3 linked regions of the Rhinolophus ferrumequinum genome follow. The protein of the gene in region 1 interacts with the protein of each later gene in a pairwise test. Links are inferred from orthologs where the notes say so. Each region holds a gene or a part of one and is shown on either strand. Other genes may lie near its edges.

What was found. The genes of interacting proteins can lie anywhere in the genome.
Region 2: the proteins of ATF4 (region 1) and TRIB3 interact in binary tests that used the Homo sapiens proteins (3 or more experiments, as listed by UniProt). The link is inferred for Rhinolophus ferrumequinum from reciprocal best matches to the Homo sapiens genes ATF4 and TRIB3.
Region 3: the proteins of ATF4 (region 1) and CEBPG interact in binary tests that used the Homo sapiens proteins (3 or more experiments, as listed by UniProt). The link is inferred for Rhinolophus ferrumequinum from reciprocal best matches to the Homo sapiens genes ATF4 and CEBPG.

The regions. Positions count from the first base shown.
Region 1 is NC_046293.1:7,979,467-7,986,277, forward strand, and holds ATF4 (cyclic AMP-dependent transcription factor ATF-4), read right to left. Parts: upstream 2,611-6,811; 5' UTR 2,418-2,610; intron 1,845-2,417; 5' UTR 1,753-1,844; coding exon 1,527-1,752; intron 1,431-1,526; coding exon 595-1,430; 3' UTR 518-594; downstream 1-517. UniProt on the Homo sapiens protein: Transcription factor that binds the cAMP response element (CRE) (consensus: 5'-GTGACGT[AC][AG]-3') and displays two biological functions, as regulator of metabolic and redox processes under normal cellular conditions, and as master transcription factor during integrated stress response (ISR).
Region 2 is NC_046306.1:23,329,874-23,337,743, reverse strand, and holds the start of TRIB3 (tribbles homolog 3), read right to left. Parts: upstream 3,004-7,870; 5' UTR 2,783-3,003; intron 1-2,782. UniProt on the Homo sapiens protein: Inactive protein kinase which acts as a regulator of the integrated stress response (ISR), a process for adaptation to various stress. Inhibits the transcriptional activity of DDIT3/CHOP and is involved in DDIT3/CHOP-dependent cell death during ER stress.
Region 3 is NC_046298.1:34,555,128-34,563,103, reverse strand, and holds the start of CEBPG (CCAAT/enhancer-binding protein gamma), read right to left. Parts: upstream 3,004-7,976; 5' UTR 2,806-3,003; intron 1-2,805. UniProt on the Homo sapiens protein: Transcription factor that binds to the promoter and the enhancer regions of target genes. Binds to the enhancer element PRE-I (positive regulatory element-I) of the IL-4 gene. Binds to the promoter and the enhancer of the immunoglobulin heavy chain.

The sequences.
Region 1 (6,811 bases):
CCAGCTTATGGTTTGTTCTAACAAAAACCAACAGTTTTTGTCTTAATGGGTTTGGGAAGTGGCCTCTACAGAACAGTAAAAGCTTTTAAGTGAAATCCAATCACTTGTACGCTAAGCTCAAGGACTGCGGGACCTTATCTGGGTATTTAATGACAGATGTTGGCACAAAGCTAACAGGTGGAGCCCAGGCTGTTCCTGCCACACCAGTTCCCCTCAAGTGAAACTTCCCTACCTTGCAGTCACCAAAGAGCTATTGTAAGATCTAGCAATTCTGTTCTGGAAAAAACACCCAGGTACCTGCTCAGCTGTGGGGGATCTGGCCCAACCCCTCTGGCTCAAGGTCCAATGTAAGACCAGTGACCCTAACCTATGGCACAACAGGGTATGAAACATTTCATCCTGGGCTCAAATATTCAGCACATTGAAATCCCGCCCTCCACCGTGGGTCAAGAATCTAGTTCCAGGAGGATTGACCAGATTATTTACAAGGCAAGACACCAGACAGCAGTTTGCCAAGTACTTTCACTACAAAATAATTTATTACAACACACAGCTTCAGGCAAGCTTCCTATGTACAAGCACAGACTACCCTAACTAGGGGACCCTTTTCTTTCCCCTTGCCTTGCGGACCTCCTCTATCAAATCTTTCAGATACTGGATCTCCTTGGCCAAGGAATCTGCCCTCTCCTTCAGAGCCTCATTCTTCTTTTCTAGCTCTTTACACTCGCCAGTGAGGGCCTCCTGCTCTGCTCTCTTCTTCTGGCGGTACCTAGTGGCTGCTGTCTTGTTCTGCTCCATTTTTTTCAGTTTCTTATCCAGCTTCTCACTCTTTACTTTTGCTGCCACTGTCTTCTCTCCAGGTGGGTCATAGGGTTTGGGGCGGGCAGAGCCACCACAGCTGGCACCTGGAGACAGCAGGCTCTTATTTGGAGAGGCCCTGGAGGTAGTGGGGCTATGCTGGGGAGAGCCCAGATAGGACTCAGGGCTCATACAAACGCCACTATCATTGTCTGAGGTGGCATCCTCCTCCTTTATGCACTGAGGGATCACGGAAATGTAAACAGTGGAGTCTGACTTTCTATCTCCTTCAGAGATATCGACTTCACTGCCTAGCTCTAAACTAAAGGAATGATCTGGAGTGGAGGACAGGGCCCCTGGTGAAAGAGGAAGAGGTTGCAGGAAGGTGAATGGGGCAACCTGGTCAGTTTCTGGTAAGCTTTCTGAAAGATGGCCAATTGGGTTTGTTATTTGGGGGGGCTCCTTATTAGTCTCCTGGACTAGGGGGTCAAAAAGATCACACGTGTCATCCAACGTGGCCAAAAGCTCATCGTGCATGGTTTCCAGGTCATCAAAACTCAATAGGGCATCAAAGTCAAACTCCTTCAGATCCATTTTCTCCACCATCCAATCTGTCCCGGAGAAGGCATCCTCTGCGAGAGATGTAAGAGGGATGAAACATTCAGCCAAATGCACAAGGCAGCAAGCCCCGCTGCCCAGACCCCCCCAGGCAAAGGACACCCACTCACCCTTGCCGTTGTCTGAGGCACTGACCAAGCCATCTACAGCCAGCCATTCGGAGGAGCCCGCCTTAGCCTTGTCACTGGAGAATCCACGAGGTTTGAAGTGCTTGGCCACCTCCAGGTAGTCGTCTAATAGACCTAGACTTTCTTCAGCCCCCAAACCCGACTGGTCGAAGGGGGACACGAAGCCCCCCACGAACACCTCGCTGCTCAGGAAACTCATCTCGGTCATGCTGCGGGGTTTTGCTGGAATCGAGGAATGTGTGTAATTCGAGGATGTCTTTGTCCGTTACAGCAACGCTGCTGCTGGGTGCCGTGAAAAACCTGAATAGGAAACCAAGTCCTATTAGCGAACAGCCGGTCTGAGAATTTCATCTTTTCACTCCTGAGGCAGGATGGCCAAACCGGAATTCTCCTTGGTTGTCCGGGATCGGCAACACGTGGCCCCAGAGCCATTAATGTCGACCTTGCCCGTTCCCCGGTCAGGCGACACAAGATGGACGCCCTTGCAGCTCGGCCGTTCCTCAGCCACAAGAGGAAGGCGCCGCATCCTTACGTCCAAATACGGCTGCAGCCGCCCTGCCCCGCCCGCCGTGACTCACACGGCCCGGCCGCCGCCCTGCCCCGCCGCCATCTTGGCCCCTGCCACGTTTCGCTGGGCACCAGGCGGAACCCTGGCGGCTTCCGAGGCCGCCGCGCGCCTCTTCCCCCCCGCGCCGGGCCGCGCTTTCCTGACTCAGGCGTGCTGGCGTCTCGGAGACACCCAAACAAAAGCCACGCGTCGCGGGCGCTCATAAAACCGCTTCCCCCTCCGCGACGCGGCCCGGCCGCGCCCAAGCAGGCCGGCCCCTCGCTCCACCATGGGCGCACGGCCAGCGCGCTCGGCCCGGTACTTACGCCATGGCTTAAGCCGCTGGGGGATGCCGCTGCAGAGCCTGGTGCTGCTGCCGCCGCTGCAAAGGCCAATGCTGCCGCAGGCACGGCTGCCTCTAATGCGCCATGGTGGCCGCGGGTCCGCGGGAGCAGAGGAGGGAAGCAGCACAGACCGGGAGCTAAGTGGACATCTGTAGGCGGGAGGAGAAATGGCCGCCGCGCCCCGGCCGCGGGTCCTTTATAGATTTTTGCCTCTACGAGGACGCCTCACACAGCAAATTCTTCCGCCGTGGTCACGTCACCGGCACCACCCACCCACTTCTTTTCATCTATCCGACGCCCTACCGTTTCCAACCAACAACTTTTGCGCCCAGGGTGCAGCTCTGAAGAGAAAGTGGGTTATTTTCAAGGTCTCAAAAAAGGAAAGACGCACTACTTTACACAGCTTCTAAGATCAAAGAGTCACTGTTCCCTCTGCGGCGGGGGAGCGCGGAGGGATCCACCAGACACGCCTGCCTTCCGGTGTTGGCTGAGGGGCGGGGAGAGAAGCCTTTCATCCCAAGGAAGGTTTTTATTGTGAAGTCGGAGCCCGCCTGGTTATCGCGCGAGATGCCGGCGCAGAGGGCGCTCGAGCTGATTGGTCAGGTATGGTGAGTCATATGTTTCTCGTGTTTTTATTGGCTCAGGCGCTGAGGAGGGTGGGCTGTTCGGTGAGATTGCCCAGGGTCCGCGCGGGAAGAGGTGGGTTCGGCTTGATGCGTATCCCTCCCGTGGTCTCCTGTCTGTCTGCCCCCTCTTCTCCGTGATGCTCCTCTGTCTGCAGTGGCTTCGGCAGCCTGGCTGGTAGCTGGCCATGACGGGTTCTAACCCAGTGCCATGGGGGTGTCAGGCCCCAGCTTCTTGCCGCCCTCAGTGAAGCCCCGAACTACTGACCAGGTTGAGTCCGGAGGATGAAACCAGGCAAAAGGAAATGTCATTTTGTGTGCGATTTCATCATATGCAAGCCCTTCAGTGGCTGAAGGGGAAGTCTGAGGACCTCAAGGGAAAGATCATCTGATCCATGCCCGCCTATCAGAAAAGGCTCGCTCTGCATCGTTACTCTGAACTCTGTAGGGCCGGGAAGATGCTTAATCCTGTAGGCCAACCTGTTACATTTTTACATATCCATTCTCCTAAATGTTTGCTAGTTTATTAAAAGTATGCAGTCATATCACAGGGGAACGTCTTTTGGTTTATGAAGTTCAGTTTCTCTAAGAACAGGTAGAGATTTTATTCAACTGGGATCTCTCACTCGAGGGTCGTTTCAACAAACTTCCAATTCTGTAACTCCCAGGCATGGCCACTTCCCAGCAAGTCCTCCGAATGACCCTGTGATGAAGAGAACCCACGCCCACTCGGGGTTCCTGTGTTTGGAAGCGGCAGTCCGTGTAAGGGGGCCAGCAACTTGCTCTCTGCTGGGGAGATGTTAGAGTGCTCTCTCTGCCCTCTTCCAGTCCCCTCCAGTCAGGCACCGTAGGGAGAGAAACCTTGAGTTTCTGCCTCCATTCATTTCAGTGGCCATACAAATACATTTCTGTGAGGGCTGTGATGTCAAAACATTTGGTGAGCATTGTCCTAGACAACTACACACCATTCATTGACTTCTTTCATCTAGCTTAGCAATTTCTTTACAATGGCAAACTGAGGACAAATGGGGAGGAGGTGTCTTGCCAGAGCTCCCAGTGAAGGCAGCATGGGGTAGGAGTCAGAAGATAGATTTTAGGGGCAAACCCAAGAGTCCTGGCTCTTCCATTTATTAGCTGAGACATTTTGGTTAAGTGACTTATCCTCACTGAGCCTGTTTCCTCATCTGGAAGATGAGGCTGATGGGTAGTATCCTTATCCTTAGAATGAAGTCAAATCATGTATGTGTAAAGCACTGAGCAAAGTGCCTGGTACTTGATTTAAGTGCTCAGTATACAATTACTATTAGAACTCGGGACTTCTGACCCCGCCCTCCCGATACTCCCTCCCCATCGCCATTACATCGTCCTGCATCCTCAGAGGACACCTATTATTTACTGAGAAGAAACCATAACTAAACAACTGGTACATGCAAAGCATACTGGATGCTGGGACAAGTGTGATTTTTCTTTCCCGTTGGAGAATCGCCAAGTGTCAGGATACACAGAACTTGTCCAGTCTTTCAGCGCAAAGGCAGTAAGAAGTCCTAAGCCACTGCATAAGTCCTCCAAAGGCATAACTAAGGACCCACGGGGCATGGCCTCCTTCTACTGTACGTCACTGCCTCCTGAGGGATGACCAGGCAAGTAGTTGAGAATTAAAGAAGTAACACTGCCCCAGTTTTGATGCTCCAGAGGTCATGGAAGAATGACTCTTATGGCAGCTCGTCCCATCCATTCTATTATGGACACCTAGATCAAGCACTTCAAAAGTTCTAGCTGAAATGAAGAACCTGTACCACTCCTGTAGGAAAACGTTTCATACCACACACAAAAGTCAAAGCTGTTGGAAAGGAGGCTTTTATTTTCTTCTTCCCATGCTGTGGAAGGACATCAGGTTCCCCAGCTTCATTTCCTCCCTCAATAGAAAAAGGACAGCAGTTCTCTGGGTCTCAGGGCTAAGCTGCTTCTATGGAGCTAACCAAGATAGGACAGAAAGCCTGCTGACTGATTCCAAACCTACCAGCCAAACATATCAACTGCTACTGAATGGCAAGCAAGTGACTAGAGGGCAAGTTGTGGACTTGGCCTCAGGGACTAGGAATTTAAAGACTAAAAGGTAAGTGACTAGAGGGCAAGTTGTGGACTTGGCCTCAGGGACTAGGAATTTAAAGCCCAAAAGGTAATCAAAATGAAAAGGTCAACACCACACTGTACGCAGTTAACCCCAGAACCCACGTCTCTGGTATTTTGGCCACTTAGAATCAGCAGTGTCTAACAGGGATACAGCCTCACAGCTCTTGTCCTAAGTGTCTCTTACCATTCTTTTTGGCCTTGAGCTTTAGCAGGAAGGCGAGAGTGCTAACAAATCCTGTGAGAGCAGACATTCTCAGCCAGGGTCATCATCTCAAGGAAGATGTACCAGGGCAGAGGACTCTGGACACATGCAGGAACCCCTACTTACAGAAACGCCTCGGGACCTCTCTGGGGGCCTTTTGATCCTGAAAGTGATTCCTCATCAAAACCATTTCCGCTCTCAGCCTGAGTGGGGTACAAGGGAGCAAACTCAGCTAATCGGGAGGGTGAACCAGTGGACTACTAGGGGCCGAGACCCAGGGGAAAGACTATGGCCTCAACACAGCTTTTCCAAACATGAGCTTCAATTATTTTATTTGGGGGAAGAAAAAAGAAAAGTCACAACCAAGTATACAAAAATACTGTTGTCCTGAACTCAATTTTTAGGAAGAGGCAACAGGGAGAACCAAAATACACTTTGGAACTGATTAGTTTTTCAAGATGATGAGTGTATTTTTTAAGCATTAGCTAAGTGGTTTGCTAACCTAGATGGTGCAAAAAAAAATGTCCAGATGGAAAAGTAGGACCAGATGCTATTACTTCCAGAAAGGTGCGAGTTACTGAGTAGAAAGGCAGAATGGCGGGGAAAGGCACGACATCTTTCCCCAAAGACGGGGGCAGGGCGGGGGGTGGAGGTGGGCAGAATGTTGCCCTCTTCCATCCAAGAATCTCAAAGCACTTGACTGTTTTCCGTATTTTCCAATCAGGCCTGCCCCGTCGGTCAGCAAAACCACCAGGACCAGGGCCAGGAATTCCCACTGCTTCTAGTTCTGCAGACTTCTAAAAGGTTCTTGCTTGTGACATGGCAAAGTTATGGTTTTTGGTTTTGTGAGACATAGTTAAGAGACAGAGATGCCCTTAGAAAGATGTTCTTTAAGAGGAGATAAACTCAAATCACGATTACACTTAGCTTTGAGAATTTGGGACTTGCTCTTTAAAAAGTCTTTTCCTTTTTGAGGTCTCCAATGTTTTATATGGAATTTGGTTGGAGACACCAGCTTGGGAAAATTGTAGGTTTTATAATACACTAGGAAAACCAACCCTTCCTGTCAGTGAAGAATAACCCATGCTTTTCCAACACCTTCTCAGCCTGCCCGTCCCTCCCCTCTACTGATGTCATGCCAGGCTCCACCCCGTCCGTACCCTCTACACCACTCACCCAGGGCAGCACTCAGTCATATAGATTTTTTTAAAATTCTAGTTTGATTCTGATGAACAGCCAGGGTGGAGAATCTTTCTCAGGGTTCTGGGCTTTGTATTTTTCATTCTCTCAATACCTTCCTACAAGTGAAACAACTGAAGCACTTTAAGAAATCCTTGCATACACAGAAGAGGCAGGAAGACTCTCCTAATATAGCCAAGGTTGACCCTAGTTCTCAGCTTCCTAAGCCATGACAAAAG
Region 2 (7,870 bases), on another chromosome or scaffold:
CCAATACAGTCCTGATCCCCTTCCCCAATAAAATCTTAAAAAAAAAATAATGCTCACCAAAAAATTAGATCAGAACCTTGTGTCTAAATAGCAAAAGGCAAGAAACACCCTCAATGTCCAGCAGTTGGAGGCTGGTTAAAACATTATGGTACAGCCATGCAGTAGAACACTATACAGTTCTGAAAAAGGACCGGGAAGCTCTCTACATACTGATGTAATAATACCAGTACAAGGTTATTCTTGCAGCCCATGTAATAGAAATAACTGAACATCCATCATTAGGGGTCTGGTTACATAGATTGTATTTCATCCATACATGGAACTCAGCCCCCAAAACCCACTCCCATCTGGCAACCATCAGTGTGTTCTCTGTATCTAGGAGTTGGTTTCTATTTTGTATGTCTGTTGTGTTGTTTTTTTTTTAAATTCCACATAAAAGTGAAATCATATATTTGTCTTCTCTATCTGACTTCTTTCACTTAGCATAATATCCTCTGGGTCCATCCATGTTATTGCAAATGGTAAAATTTCATTTTTTATATCCAAGTAATACTCCATTGTACAAGTATTATATATATGTACCACATCTTCTTTATCCAGTCCGTCTATTGATGGACACTTAGGTTGCCTCCATATCTTGGTTATTGTAAATAATGCTGCAAAGAACATAGGGATGCATATATCTTTTTGAAGTAGTGTTTTGGATTTCTTCAGACAGATATCCAGTAACTGAATTGCTAGATTATAAGGTAGTTCTGTTTTTAATTTTTTGAGGAACCTCCATACAATTTTCCATAGTGGCTGCACCAAGTTGCAATCTCACCAACAGTGCATGAGGGTTCCCTTTCTCCACATCCTTGCCAACACCATTTTCTGTTGATTTATTGATGATGGCCATTCTGACAGGTGTGAGGTGATATCTCATTGTGGTTTTAATTTGCATTTCTCTGATGATTAGTGACTTTGAGCATCTTTTCATATGTCTAGTAATGCCCATAGGATTTTTGTGGTGAAGAAATTAAAACAGAAATAAAGTAGCATGGCCTTGTTACAGGATAGGAGTCAGGAAATGGTCACTACTGCTGTTCCATTATTATTTATTATTATTATTATTAATATTATTATTATTAGCTGAAGATGCTCAAGTGCTACCATATGGAGACTCAGAAATCTCCCCAGGGATGAGGCTAGGATGACCTCACTGGCTGTTCTGAGTCAAGCAAAATGACCCCTGGCTGTGTAGATGCTTTGTGCCCTGTGAAGCAGAGACTCCCTGGAGTGGCTTTCTGGTGGTTGTACAGCACTCCAGGCTGCTTTGGCCCTACTGTACCTCAGAGCCTGGTGGGGCCTGGGATGCCCCACACCATTGAACAGGGGTATCTGAATCTATAGATGAACATGGGACTTTGCAGGCCACACTGCAGGATCTCCACTGTAGGATGGAGGCAGCCCCTAATATCTACCTCTTACTGGTCCCTGACAACCCCATGGGAAAAGGGGCAGGTCGTACTAAATACACACTCACACAACAGGGGAGACAGGTGTACACACACCCCTCAAAAACACACTTTGTCCAAGCCAGCCAGCAGAGACACATACATCCAGGGTAGACACAGGCACACACATCAAGTGATACACACTTACCTCTCCCTCCACGGGCAAGCGTGCACGCACACACACACAGCTCTCCCAACCATCACACTCACGATAGCAGGACTGATAGCAACAGGGTCACACGCACAGTCTGACACGCCCCCTCCCCGCCCTCGCCCAATACACACACATTCACTGGGCCTAAGGCAGTCGGCTGCCTCGCCGGCCTCCCGCAGCCAGGCTCCTCCCTTGGGAGCGGAAGAGGCGGCAGCGGGTGTCTCGGGCAGAAGATTCAGCGGAAACCGAGGTGCGGTGGGGAATCAGGAGGGGGTGAGACAGAGAGAGGGAGGCTGGGCCCAAGGGCAGGGGGCAGGAGCGGGGCTGGGCCCTCGCCTCCCCTCCCCAAGTCTCCAGGTACAACACACGCCGTCTGCTGGATCGAAACACACGTGCGCACAGTGCAACGTGCAAACCGGTAGGTACACACCTGCGGCCCAGGACCGGCGCGCAGCAGGGTCCCGCATCCGCCCGCTGCCTCCGTGGTCCCACTTGACCTGCACGGGTCCTCCGCCTCCAGGAAACCCCTGCCCTACCCCGCCCGTACCCCCTACACAGCCAACACCTGCCACCAGGTGCTCTGCCCTCCCCGCAACTCTCACCGTCCGCGGAAACACAGAGTCCCGAAACACATCCCCACCCAGACCCCACAGGCTCCCGCGGACTCCCGCGGATACCCCCCCACAGTGACAGAGACTGTACATACAGTCCTCCAGTCCTCCAATGCAGTCCCTCACACACACTCCTCCCCCACCAAACCACACGACTCCCCTGACCCACACTCACCCAAAACACAGACAACCGCACACCTCTCTCGGACCCACACACGGACACCTCCGTCCTGGCTCCCTCCGCCCCCGGGACACAGCTAACACCCCCGGGGTGTGCTCCCTCGCCCTAGCGGGTGTCGGCCTCACTTGGGCGACCCCAAGGCCTGAGGGGCTGCGTCACCTGAGACCCGGCAGGAACATTCGGCCCAGATCGCCCCCGGACGGCCAGGTTTGTTCAAAGGGGTGTGTGTAACACGCGGCAGCCCGGAGCCATCCCGAAGCTCGCCGGCCACCCTCCGCCGGTCGCCCCTCCAACCTACCCGCCCCTCCAACCTTCCTGCCCCTGGCTCCCAGCCGGGTACCTTGCCCTGGTGCGGCGGTGTCCTGCGGACCCCTAAGTTCAGAGTCGCCTGGGCACCCCTGGTGGACTGGGACCTGCTCCGCTGCTGCTGAGCTTGGGATCTGGCGGAGCTCTGGCCTCGACCCCCCGCAGCCCGAAGCGTGCGGAGCCGCCGCGGCTTCCGCGGCGAGTGTCTCTTGGACGCCTGGCGCCAGGCGACGGTTCTGGCCCGGGTGATGTAAACCTGAGCTAATCAGCAGCCGCCTGAGGCGCTCCGGCCGGGGATTGCACCATCCCCTGCGCTCCGCCCCTCCCAACGCGCTCCGCCCCGTCCCTCCGGTTAGGTTCCCGGGCGGGGCCGGGGCACCCCTCGCCTCTCCCGCCCTCGAAGGGTGTCTCGTCTCCACCCCACTCCCCTTCCGCCCCGCGCCCGAAGTTTGAGTGTAGACACCAGCCACTGACTCTCCCTATCATCTTGGAAAAAGCATTTTGCTTTTCTGAGCCTTGGTTTCCCCATCTGTGAAATGGGAAAAACATCCTTGCTTCTCAGGATGGTGCTGAAGAGAAATAAAAAAAGCAAACCATTACAGCCTCCTGGCTACCTTTCCACCATTGCTTTTTAAACCTTTAGAGAAGCTTTGGCAGGCAGGAAGCTCTAGTCTCCCCATTCTACTAAGGAACTGCCTGAGGCCCAGCTATGGGAAAGCAGCCCAGGAGCTTTACAAAAACCACAGATTTATAGGAGCTGATTCCTGGCTCAAAAGAGCCAGTGTGGTGCCCTGGGAAGGCCTGAGGTAAGGTGAACTTCACAGCATTCATTTGATAAAGGCAGTGCAACCATTAGTAGTGGTTAAGAGCAGGCACCCTAGAAACAGCCTGCCTAAGAGTGCACCCCACCTCTGCCCAGGCCACTGTGCTACCTCAGGAATGCTACCTAAAACCCTGCTTCAGTGTCCTCCACTATAAAATGGGCTTATAATAGCACAGCATTCACTTCATAGAGTCGTTGTTTGGATAAAAGAAGTTAGTAAAATGCTTAGAACAGTGTGTGGCACATCATAGGTGCTCAATAAAAAGAGTATACAAAATGGAGGCTCAGCGAGGGGAAGATGCCTATCACGGGACTTGCACCCCAGGCCTGGCAGGCCCTGGTGGCACTTGCTATTTGGTAAAGCATCCCTGTGCAGCCCCGGGGATCTACACTTTTCAGTGGAAATCCTTTCTAGGTCTTGATGTCTGGAAAAATATGATGTCAACCCTCAGTTTTTCCTCTGTCTCTGAGACTATTTCTGATTAGTTCATTTATTCTTTTCTTTATATTCCACATATAAGTGAGATCATGTGGTATTTGTCTTTCTCTGACTTATTTCACTTAACACAATGTTCTCTAGGTTCATCCATATTGTTGCAAATGGTAAGATTTCATTCTTCTTTATGGCTGCGTAATACGCCATTGTATAAATGTACCACAGTTTCTTAATCCAGTCATCTACCGATGGGCATTTCAATGGACTCTCATTAGGGAGACCACCTCAGGGATGACGTACATGCCTGATCACTGCACTGTACACCTGAAGCTGAAGCTGAACAATAATGAATGTCAACTACAACTATATACATATATAGTTACAAGAAGCGGAGTACAGCATGAGGAATAGTGACAGTGGAAATGTAATGGCTGTGTGCGATGTCAGAGGGGTAGTGGATGGGGGGTGGGGGGTTGTCACTGTGTGAGGGCTATAAATGATAAATGTCTATTACATTGTTTTGTGCACCTGAAACTAATAAAAACAAATGTTAAAAAAAAAGATGTCAAAAAAATAACTGCTCAGGCAGAGGTTGGATGGGAGGCGGTTGGAGTCACCTTTGTTTCCCTAGTTCCAGAACCATAGGGACCAGCTCACTAGTGTCTCAGATCCTTCAGGGCACACTAGGGGATTCTGGGATTTCATTTAACCCTGGAGACTCCCCTGCCTGGGAGGGATAAATGAACTCATTTTCTACACCAGGACATCTAGACTCAGGTCAGAAGTTCCCATAGCTGTTAGGGGTAAAGAAAGGTAGGGATGGTTGTCTTCTGAGCACCTTTATGAAGCTGGCACTGCGCTGGGTTGGCTCACACATTCCTAACTTTGTTTCGGGTGTCAGACCCATGCCTGTCACGACTCATCGGAAACAAGACTGACCCATCGCTGTCCTCATGGATTGTATAAATCAATGGGGAGACAGGCCATTATCAATAAAATAAAATCAATAAACCACGATCATTGAAAATAGATTATAAGTGTCATTTATTTTCTTGAATAAAATAGGGTAGATTTTTCTGTATCAGAGATGACTGAGGGATGGCTGTTTTCAGTAAGTCTCATCAGGAAGGTGATGCTTAAAGTAGGATCTTAAGGAAGAATAGGGGTGACTAGTGCAAAGATGTGAGGGGGAAAGAGGAAAAAGTAAGCACAGAGATTCTGAGGCACTGGTGAGATGGGCACTGTCACCTACATTCTATAAATGAGTCAAGGTGAGGGACTTACCCAAGACCACCCAGCTCATTGTATGAGGTAGATTTGGATTTGAACTTGGGGCCGCTGACCCCAGTGTCCACACTGGCCAGGGACATTTCACAATCTTTGCAAACCAGCAGCCTCCACCCTCACTTGTAGGTATGTTCTCTGGAACCACACCCTGGGCCTCGGCCCCAAGTTTGAGGCCCTTGTCACAGCTGGGGGTGTCACATCCCAATTCTCTAGACCAGCACTTTCCAATAGAATATAACATAAGCCACATATGTAGTTTCAAATTTTCTAGTCATGCACTAAAGAAGAATAAAAAGAAACAGGTGGAATTAATTTTGATAATATATTCTATTTAAACCAATGTATCTAGCATATTATCATTTCACAGATAATAAAAATTATTAATGAGTTCATCTAAAATATTTTCATACTAATGTCTTCAAAATCTGGTGTGTATATATTACACTTAATTTGGACACAAATCAGCATGGAAGCTAAATTGTTAAAGTAATGGTTAAAGTAAAATGTAGTCCTACTAAAAAACTTAAGCTGTATTTAATGGAAAAAATATGTTACCTGACCTGTCTTAAAATTAAAATTCAATAAAATGAAAAATTCAGTTCCTTGGTCACAGTAACCACATTCTAAATGCTCAGTAGCGAGCCGGCCCGGTGGCCCAGGTGGTTGGAGCTCCGTGCTCCTAATGCCGAAGGCTGCCGGTTCAATTCCCACATGGGCCAGTGGGCTCTCAACCACAAGGTTGCCCATTGGACTCCTCGACTCCCACAAGGCATGGTGGGCTCTGCCCCCTGCAACTAAGATTGAACACGGCACCTTGAGCTGAGCTGCTGCTGAGCTCCCAGATGGCTCAGTTGGTTGGAGCCCGTCCTCTCAACCACACGGTTGCCAGTTCGACTCCCGCAAGGGATGGTGGACTGCACCCCCTGCAACTAACAGCGGCAACTGGACCTGGGGCTGAGCTGTGCCCTCCACAACTATGACTGAAAGGAAAACAACTTGACTTGGAAAAAATCCTGGAAGCACACACTGTTCCCCAATAAAGTCCTGTTCCACTTCCCCAATAAAATCTTAAATAAATAAATGCTCAGTAGCCACACATGTGGCCATATTGAATAGCACAACCCTTGACCAAGAATTCCTGACACATGGTCCAGGGAGTACAACAAAGAAGTGAAGAGTCTGTCCGGTCCACAACGTAGATGCCAAATAGCCTTCAGCCTCAGTTCCTGCATCTATTTCCTGCATCTATAAAATGGGATTAATCATACTTTTCTTGCATTGCAGTCTTAAGGGTTAAATGCATTGAGGCAGCCTAGTGTCATAGTCAAACCACATTTCCTGGGTTCAAATCTTACCAATTCCAAGGTGAAATTTTGTGTAAGTTATTTAAGCTCTCTGTGTCTCAGTTTCCTTATCTGCAAAATGGGGATAATAATAGTACCTATTGCATTGGTTTGTCATGAGGATTAAATGACGATATTTGTGAGGTGCCTGGAATATAAATGCTATGTAAGCATTTTTTAAAAGTGAGAAAATAAATGGTTGCCAGACCCCCAAAATTAAATGCAAAAAAGTGCACTTTCCTGGAGAGAGAGTTATTTTTATGACATCCCTTCTCTCCAGGCTCAAAACATCCTCCACCCAGGTGTCTGAGCCAAGCAGGCTGCATTACTATTGCTGTAGTTCTGATGAGCCCAGTCTCTGGCCCTCAGGGAATTTAATTCCTCTTCTCTCTTAAATCCATTCCAATCACAATTCTACCTGCTCGCCCTTCCCTAGGGAAACTGCTCTTGTCAAAGTCACTGTGTGTCTAAGTCCAATGCTCAGAGGACTGTGCCCCAACAGAGGAGAGGAGGTGGGAGTCTGTGGACTGCTATGATGGGAGCCACGACAGGAGCCACACCTGCCTCCTGCCATTCCACCCAGGTGTCACTAGTGATTGCTACATGTCTCAAATTCTACGATTGGTGCCCTTAAACCTTTCATCTCTGTATGTTCTCCCCACGAAAGGGAAACAATGCCTTGGAAAGATTTCCGGTTAGACTCTAGGTCTGGCTGAAGCCACAGACCTTGTGAGATCGTGGGCAAGTCACCTCCTCTTTTGGAGCCTTAGTTTTCTTATCTGTAAAATAGGAAGAAAGATTTGGATTAGCTCAGTGCTTTCCAAAATATGATATGTACAGCAGTGGTAGATGCCAGATAGTTTTAGGTCTCCAGACTCTATTACATAACATTGAATCATATCATGATACATGTATTTCTTTTTTGTTTTCTTCCTGTTCCTCCAATTACTGGGGAAGAAAATCTCATTTAACAGCTTCTGTGTCTTTAACACTTCACTTGTTAAGGAAGAGAGAGCAGGGCTCAGCTCAGAGCCTTCAGCAAGAAACAGGTTCTAACTAGAATTCAAGAATAGTGTTTTTGCTTTCCTGGCATTTAATGTTACTTCCCTTTTATGGCAAATGGTAGTGACTTTCCATTTGAGGTGAGTGATTTAAATTTAAAATTTCCATTTAAAATAAATTTGCCTAAATTTTTTTTATTTTATGAGCTAATAGAAAGAAAAACATTATGGA
Region 3 (7,976 bases), on another chromosome or scaffold:
TTCTACCGACCCCACTCCACCCCCCAAAAAACCTCACATCCACCATCCCTCTCCATCCCCATGCCACAGAATTACCTCAGGCTGACATCATCTCTCAGGGGCACTAGTCTCCTCTGGTTTCTCAGTGATCCCTCCAGACACTGTCTCCAGAGCAATCTAACACTCCAACTTGAGTGTGTCACACTCTCTTGCTGAAAATTCTTCTTTGGCTCCAACATACAGGATCAAATCCAAGGTATTAACCCTCTCTCCAATCCCTACTCCCTTACACTTCACACCTTAACAATACTAAACCACTATCAGTCCCCTAAATGGTCCGTGCTTTCTCTTTGTGCTTCTGTCCAGCTCGTTCCCCCCATTTCTTTGTCAACACCAGCCCTACAGCGTGTCTCCCTGTAGACTAACCTCGAGGCAAGACTGTCTTCATCTCCACATACCCAGAATCTGGTGCAGGGCTAGGTATATAATATCCCTGTGGTGCTCAAAATACTTGTAGTGCTCAACAAGTATTTGTTGAATACAGGATCAAAAGGCTAAGAGAAAACATATTTTTATAAATGTCTTATGAAAATGAGACTCTCTAGCTTTAAAATCTCTTAAAACAACTGCAATTAAATCAAGAGTTATTAGGATACCATGGTCTTACTACCTCAAGTTCTTGGTCTTTCTTAAAAGGTGTACAGGAAAATAAAAACACAGTTAGTTCCATTTGCTACTTCAAGTCCCCAGTCTATACAGTGACTGTATTCATTCTTGTCTGGTCTTTGCTTCATGTCAGTTGAGAGCCTTCACTTTCTACTTTGCCCGGTTGTTTTCCAATTAATAATGTCAAGTTCTTAGACATGTGTTGCCAGGATCTGACAACTCTGTGCTACAAGTGAAGTCAAAAGCAAGCAAAGTCAACAGACACCCAAATGAGCAGTATTTCTATTTAGTTACCACTGCTTGCTTCATGACCCAAAATAGGGGTCCATGAAAGAGGGTACATCCCTTCAGGGAGTACATAAGTATGAGAAACAAATGTATGTTCATTTGTCTTTTTTTAATGTCCTTTTTTAAATCCACTTTTGGTTTGATTTACAACATACAAAAAATAGTCTACACCCATTGTTTATAAATATACACCTGTTAGTAGGTCATGTTCTTTTTTTTTATTGATAGGCCTGGAAAGCCAAAAAGGTAGGAGATCAATGTACCTACCAGTACAAGAACCCACGAAGTGTCCCCTCCCAAGAATACACAATAAACCTGGAATTGCGGCTACGTGCATTCACCATTACTGTGATCAGGTGAGACAATCTTAGAACATAAGACCAAATTCAGCCCCATGAGGTCCTATTTGTCTTTACCAAGGACTCCCCATGTGCTATTTAAATCCCTAGGGATGAAACCACCTCTCCATGATCAGACAACCTTGCTGACAGTCATGATGTGTTCTTGAGAATTTAAAGGATATTCTGGGGGTGGGGGGAAATGCAGGCTTCCACTTTTTTTTTTTTTACAGCAGATATTAAAAATGACTGAATCAGCCACGTGTGCCCACCAGAAGCAGGAATCAAGAAACTGAAAAATTCAGCTCCCTAGCATTCTATAATTATTTAACCTTGTTTACAGTAAATTCTTCCAAAAATATTCAACTTTAAGAATAGCTTATCCCAAATATTACTTAAGTGGTAATAACTGACCAGATGTTAACTTTTAAATATGAAGAACTTTTAGATGCAGAGTTTCTTAGTACATCAAGCGTTTATCGTATTTTACTTCAAAAATTTCTTTGGGAGTCACATAGCCTATCTGAATTAAAGAACGATCTCTTCAAATAAGGATTCAACTGAGTGTAGGCTCAGAGACAGAACTACCAATTTTTGTGCAACCCACAAATGTTAAAACCTTTCTGAAACTAACACATTTTAAGATGCCAGATTAAGCATAAACCTCAGACAAGAGGAAAACCAAACAGTTACACCTTCTGAAGAAAACAAACATACAAGCCTACTGGGGAAAAAAAAGATTCCCGTTCCCCTCAAACCTGCTAATCCATCCTCTCCATCTCAGACACCTCTCCTGGCTATTTTCCTTACTGTGTTCCCTCCACTGAGCTAAGGAAGCAATTCATTTCCTGCCATTCTCTTTACTATTCAACTCGTGGCTGTTGCACATTCATCTCACCTATGTTCAACAGTAAACTGCAGGGTATTCAAACTATAGCTCCACAAGTGAGCATAATAGTATTTCTGTAAAGTCACGTAGGTAAAACATCCACTGGTTCCCCTGGCTACTTTATCACTCTATTAACTTCTGAACAGAATTCCCGACGACTCCACACTGAGCCGTTTTGGCGGGTCAGAAAACATCCCATGTAATACTAAAATAAGATATGGTCCACCTCCTGCTATTCTGGGAACACCCTTTATCCCCAGGGGCCAATACGAGCCTGGCTTGTCACAACTACACGTTTCACAGAGGGCCAGGGTTTGGAGTGGGCGCCCCTCGTCTTTCATCCCGTCTAGGGCCGGCGATGAGGGGCGCCCGAGAGAGGGGCGCCCGGGGTCCGCGGGTGGCGCCGCGGCGCTGGGCGGCGGCCAGGGATGAGCTCAGCGTCCCCGCCGGGTGTTGCCGGCAGGTTGCATCAGACGCCGCGCGGGGCCGCCGCCCGCGCCGCGGGCCGCGCGGGGCCTTCCCGGCTAGCCGGCCGCCTCCGACCCGGCCAGGTCTCCTCGGGCCGGGCCCGCGCCCACGCGAGCAGCCGGCGCGGCCGCGGCCTCCTCCTCCCTCAGCCCGCCCGCCAGCCCGCGGCCTCCATACCTGAGCCTCCGGCCCGCCCGCCCCCAGGCGGCCTCCACTCCGAGCGGCCCCGCGTGGCGCGGCCCGACCCGACCCAGGCCTCGCAGCCCACGAGTCAGCGAGGAGGAGCAATAGTTACGAAACCCGCAGCCTCCGCCCGTTCCGCCGCCGCCGCCACCGGCTTCCCCTAGTCGCCAGGGCCGCGCGCGCTACCGCCGCCGCCACGACCAATGGGAGGGCCGGCTTGCAGGCGACTCGCCCACCCCTCGCGACGGGCAGCGCCGCCAGCCAATCGTGGGTGGCCTGGCTGCGGGAGGCGGGCACGTGGCGGAGGCGTTGGCCTCGGCCGGTGGGGCTGGCGGGCGTGGCGGGAGCAGATGGTTACTCGCAGCGCCGCCCGTGGTCCCTCGGCTGTTCGCGTGGGCCGGCGGCCCGGAGGGGTAAACCCCAGCTGTAAGAAAGGCTCTGTGGAAGTTGGAGAAGCGTAGCTTTGTGAAGGCAACACTTATCTTTGGAAAGCGCAATATCCTAAGATGATTGAATCACCGAGTTCTTTTTTGGTTTCACCAGGTCCTGGGGCGTCCCTCACAGGGACAGTTTCCCAGAACGGCCCACTAGAGTCGCTTCCCAGGATGTGGGGCCCGCCGCTGACGCCTGACCTCCGACGGGCCCGGGCCCCTCGGATGGAACCTGGAGAGAAGTCCTGGACCTCACGGCTATGAAGACAACTGTGGACTTGAAAAACGAAGGAAGCAAAATTGTCCCAACTATGATTAGTGTTGATATCACATTGGTGAACACTGCAGACTGTGGTTCGTTATTGGAGGAAACGAATTGAATTTCCATGATCGATTACCGTGTGGTGTCTGCCAGGTGAACAGATTGAGAGACGTGATCTCAAAGAATGAATGGCTCTCCAACTTTGTTTATCTAAGTCAATTCACAGGAGGATCTGAAAGCGTCTGAAAACCAGGAAGCTGCGCGCTGGCTGGAGGACAGAGCCCGCTCGCCCGATAGGTTTGATTGTTTCCTCTTTAGCAATTCTTATCGTCCAAAAAATAGTCTTTGAAAGAGGAAACATTTCTTCATCGCCCAAGCCATGGGACCAGCTTTGTGCCTAAGACTGTTTCGAGGAATCAGAAAAGACATGCTAAAACATTTGCAAAAAATAAAAATAAAAGGACTGCAACTAAATATGAACAACGATAAACATAGAAGCGTATTTGGTAGAGTAACACATCAACAAAACCAGTATGCTTCTTTCACTTTGGCCCTCTGTTCTGAGTTGAAATTTCTTTGATCAAAATGTTAGCTTATTAAAATTGGATTATATTTTGTACTCTTAAAAATCGTAATTTTACCCTGATCATTGCCTAATCACCTAAATATTGTATAGGAAAAAAATTGTATTGGTATATTCATTTATTCTCTTGTTTGCTAACCACTCTGCCAAGCTGGCACAGCATTCTTCGTCTGTCTGGGAAAGCCTTCTCCCACACTCAGCAGGTCTAGTCAATGCCAAGGAGACGAGTATTTCCTATTCAGCTGGGAATTCTGTCTTCTGCTGGTTTACAATTTGTGTGTGTGTGTGTGTGTGTGTGTGCCAACTATGTGCTAAGCTGTGGGGATTTAGCAACAAATAAGACGAACACAGCCCTTTCCCACACGGAGCTTACACTTTAGAGCCAAAGAGACAGACATGCAGTAATTATACACTTTTTCTGTTAACTATATTACGAGAAAGAAGTACAAGATGCTGTTAGAGATTATAAGAAAGGAATCAAATCTGGCGTGTAGGTCAGGGAAGGCCTAAAAGAAGATGAATAGGATTTGTCTAAGTGATACCCATGAAGTGAATGTACCAGTCAGAGGGAATGTCTTACCTAAAGGTCTTTGTGATGGGAGAAATTTAAGGCCAGAGTGGCTGAAGCACAGTGTCCCACTGGAAAGTCAGCCACCACCTCCCTGTGTGCTCACATGATCTCTTTGTGTACATGCAGGGAGGAGAGAGCGAGAGAGAGCTGGTGTCTCTTCTTATAAGGGCACCAATCCCATCATGAGAGGACCCTCATGAACTCATCTAACCCTAATTACCTCCCAAAGTCCTCATTTCTAAATATAATTCCATCATATTTGGCATTAAGGCTTCAACATATGAACATGGGGTGGGGAGGGCCACAAACATTCAGTCCATAATAGGATGTCAAAGGAGCTAAATGAGAGAGCCCCGCCCCAGTGTCCAAAGAGCCCCAATGCCAATTTGAGTGGCAAAATAAATAATGTAATATTGGGTTATAACCCAAAGTATAAAATTAATATCCATGAGTTCATGCCGATATAAATAAATGATTGAGTAAATAAATGTCAGAAAAGAGACAAATCTCCCATGCGGAAGAATTCCAAATAATTTATGTAGATACTCTCTTCTCAGATGGGGGAGAATAACTCCCCACTCTTTTAGTGTGGCCCGCACGTCCTTCCGAAGAGCAGAGCATGAAAGGGAAAAATAAAGAGAAATTCTACAGTGGAGAAACCTGACAAACACTGCTACAGCCAGGTGACCAAGGTTCACTCAATAGACATACACCATGTTGATACGTGATGAAAATGGCACTTGACCTCTTTGATCTCAAGAACTCATAAGCCCAGTCTAACCAGGAGAAAAATACCAGACAAATTCCAATAGAGCGGCATTCTACAAAACACCTGACCGGTACTACTCAAAACTGTCAATGTCATTAAAAACAAGGAAAGTCAGAGGAAGTGTCACCATCTGAAGCATCCTAAGGAGACATGTAGTGTGGTATCCTGAACGGGATCCTGGGATAGAAAAAGGACATTGGATAAAAACTAAGGAAATCCAAAAAAAGAATGGACTTTAATTTATTTGGTATTGTGGCTCATTAATTGGCTCATTAATTGTAACAAATATACTATACTAATGTAAGATGTTAATAATGGGGGATACTGGGTGCAGGGTAAATGGGAAATCTCAGTCTTTTCAATATTTTGCAACTAAAATTGTTCTAAAAATAAAATCTGTTTAGGGGAGAAAAAAAGCATTTGAGATACATTACAGGGTTAACATTAACTTAAAACAGAACACTCTGAAATATTAACAAATCAAAGGCAGCACAGACTTCAGCTAAATTGATAAGGACGTTGAGCGCAGAAAAGCTTTGAGCCGCAAGTCCTACCTTGCTCACTACTGGTGACTGTGTCTCTGCCAGGCAAACCCAAGCCATGCAGAGAAATGGAGCCAGAGAGCGGGGGAACAGGACTGCAGGGACTCCTCCAGGAGGGGAGGAGGTGGCAAAGAGGGAAGAAGAGGCGGCGGGACAGCACTGTGGGGCTGCCAGAGGATGTGGAAGCCCTGGGAGTCATCTTTGGGCTACTGAGGGACCCGTCCTCAGAAGGTCCACATGCCAGGTCAATCTCTGGGAGCTGCAAGGCCGAGATGAGAAGGAAATGAAAGCTTCCTGGACAGAGGCATGTGCTTGTCCCATGTACTCACTCCTGCATTCTTTTTCATCTGTCTCAATTATTAGTTGAGTCCCCACTCTGTGCCAAGCACTGTCCCAAGCGCTGGCAGTCCTACAGAACAAGGCACTGGGGCTGGGGAAGTGGGAGGCTGGTGCCCAGCCTATGAGAAGGAGGCCAAGAAAGCACCACCAGGCTGGGTGGTGCTTGAATTTGTTGGCTTAGAGTCAGGAATCTTCTAGGCGTTTCTCATGGATTCTTCCTTTTACATTTTTTTTTTTTTAGGTTCCTATAGTAACAATCAGTTCCTGTGCAAGCTTAAACGTGGATTCAGATTTACTTGGGCGTGGTGGGTGGAGATACCAGCATCCATTCACATAAATATTGGGGGAATTGGGCTGGAAGAGGAAGGTGGAGATTGTTTCATTTTCCCTTGCAAAGGTTTTTTGGGGGAAAGCTAGGATTTGAAGGGACAAGCGCTGTTGTAGTCCTTATGAAGAGAGTGGCATTTCCCCCATCATTGTGAACCACCCCATTTCTTCAGCCTGGTAGGAACTGAAGTGAATGCAGAACTGCTTAACGTCTCTAGGATTTGTGTTTTTGTGAACCTCAGGCATCAACCCCCTTTGGCATATGGGCAACAAGTTGGAGAAAAAAAAGCTGAAGCAGAGGCCGTGCTAAGGGGCCTGTCCTCCAGAGACTTTGATGATAGGCGATACCAATGGTACGGTACACTATAGTGGGGTCCCAGGAGCTGCCAAGAAATACCTGGTGATGGAGGTTGGAGATTTGTTCTGTCACTGTTAAATAGACCTACTGTAGCCACAGGTGGGAAGGCTTGGGCAAACTTCAGAGCCAAAACAGTAAATGTCCTTTCAAAAATTTTCTAGCCTTATCTTGCCTCAACCAGGGTAAAGCCAAAGGTGCAGCAGCCTGAAGAGCTTATGAGATCAGAGTGTGTCTTGGGCAGAGAGAAATGGGGGGGGGTGGCGGGGTATGAAGTGGAGAACAATTGAGGAAAGCTACGAATGCCCACTACTTCTGGCGTGCTATCTGGCGGACAACTCCTTCTCAGCTCCACGTAGCCAGTTCCTCTCCATGCCTCAAGCCCCAAGCCAAGTCTCAACTCTCGGCCTTTGCTGACTATTCAAGTTCTTGCTGGCCTTACTCTTTCTTCTCATGGCATACATGTAACATTAAGATATACATTATGGTGTGCTTTTTGCTATTTTTTTGTCTGTCATACTCTGTTCTTATAGAAAGGTAAGGTTCTGTTTTACATACATACTGCTGTGTCGTGTACGTATGAGGTTTTAGAAAACACAGCTGGAGGGGATGAGAGACTTTGTCCTGAGTAGGGGTGCACCACGGCGTCCATTGCAGTCTACCTCTTGCACTGCTTGAATCCACTTATTACTTATAAGAAGTTAATCCCATCTGTGAATAGCTTCTCCGGAGTTTTGGATGGTCTCCTGTGCTGGAGAAATTTGCCAGAAGATAGCTAGCGGATGAACGATGGCTGCTGCTGGCCCCAAGGCGCACTGATGTTCATCACCTGCCTCCCCTACTCCCCCTTCTAGGTCACCCTCACTGTTGGCTAGCACTCTTCTGGCCTAAGCAGCTTACCTATTGGGGTGACCCACACCTTCATCCTTGAGAAATCTCTACCCTTTGTTATCATGTCCTTTTAAGGTCTTGGCCATTGTACCTGT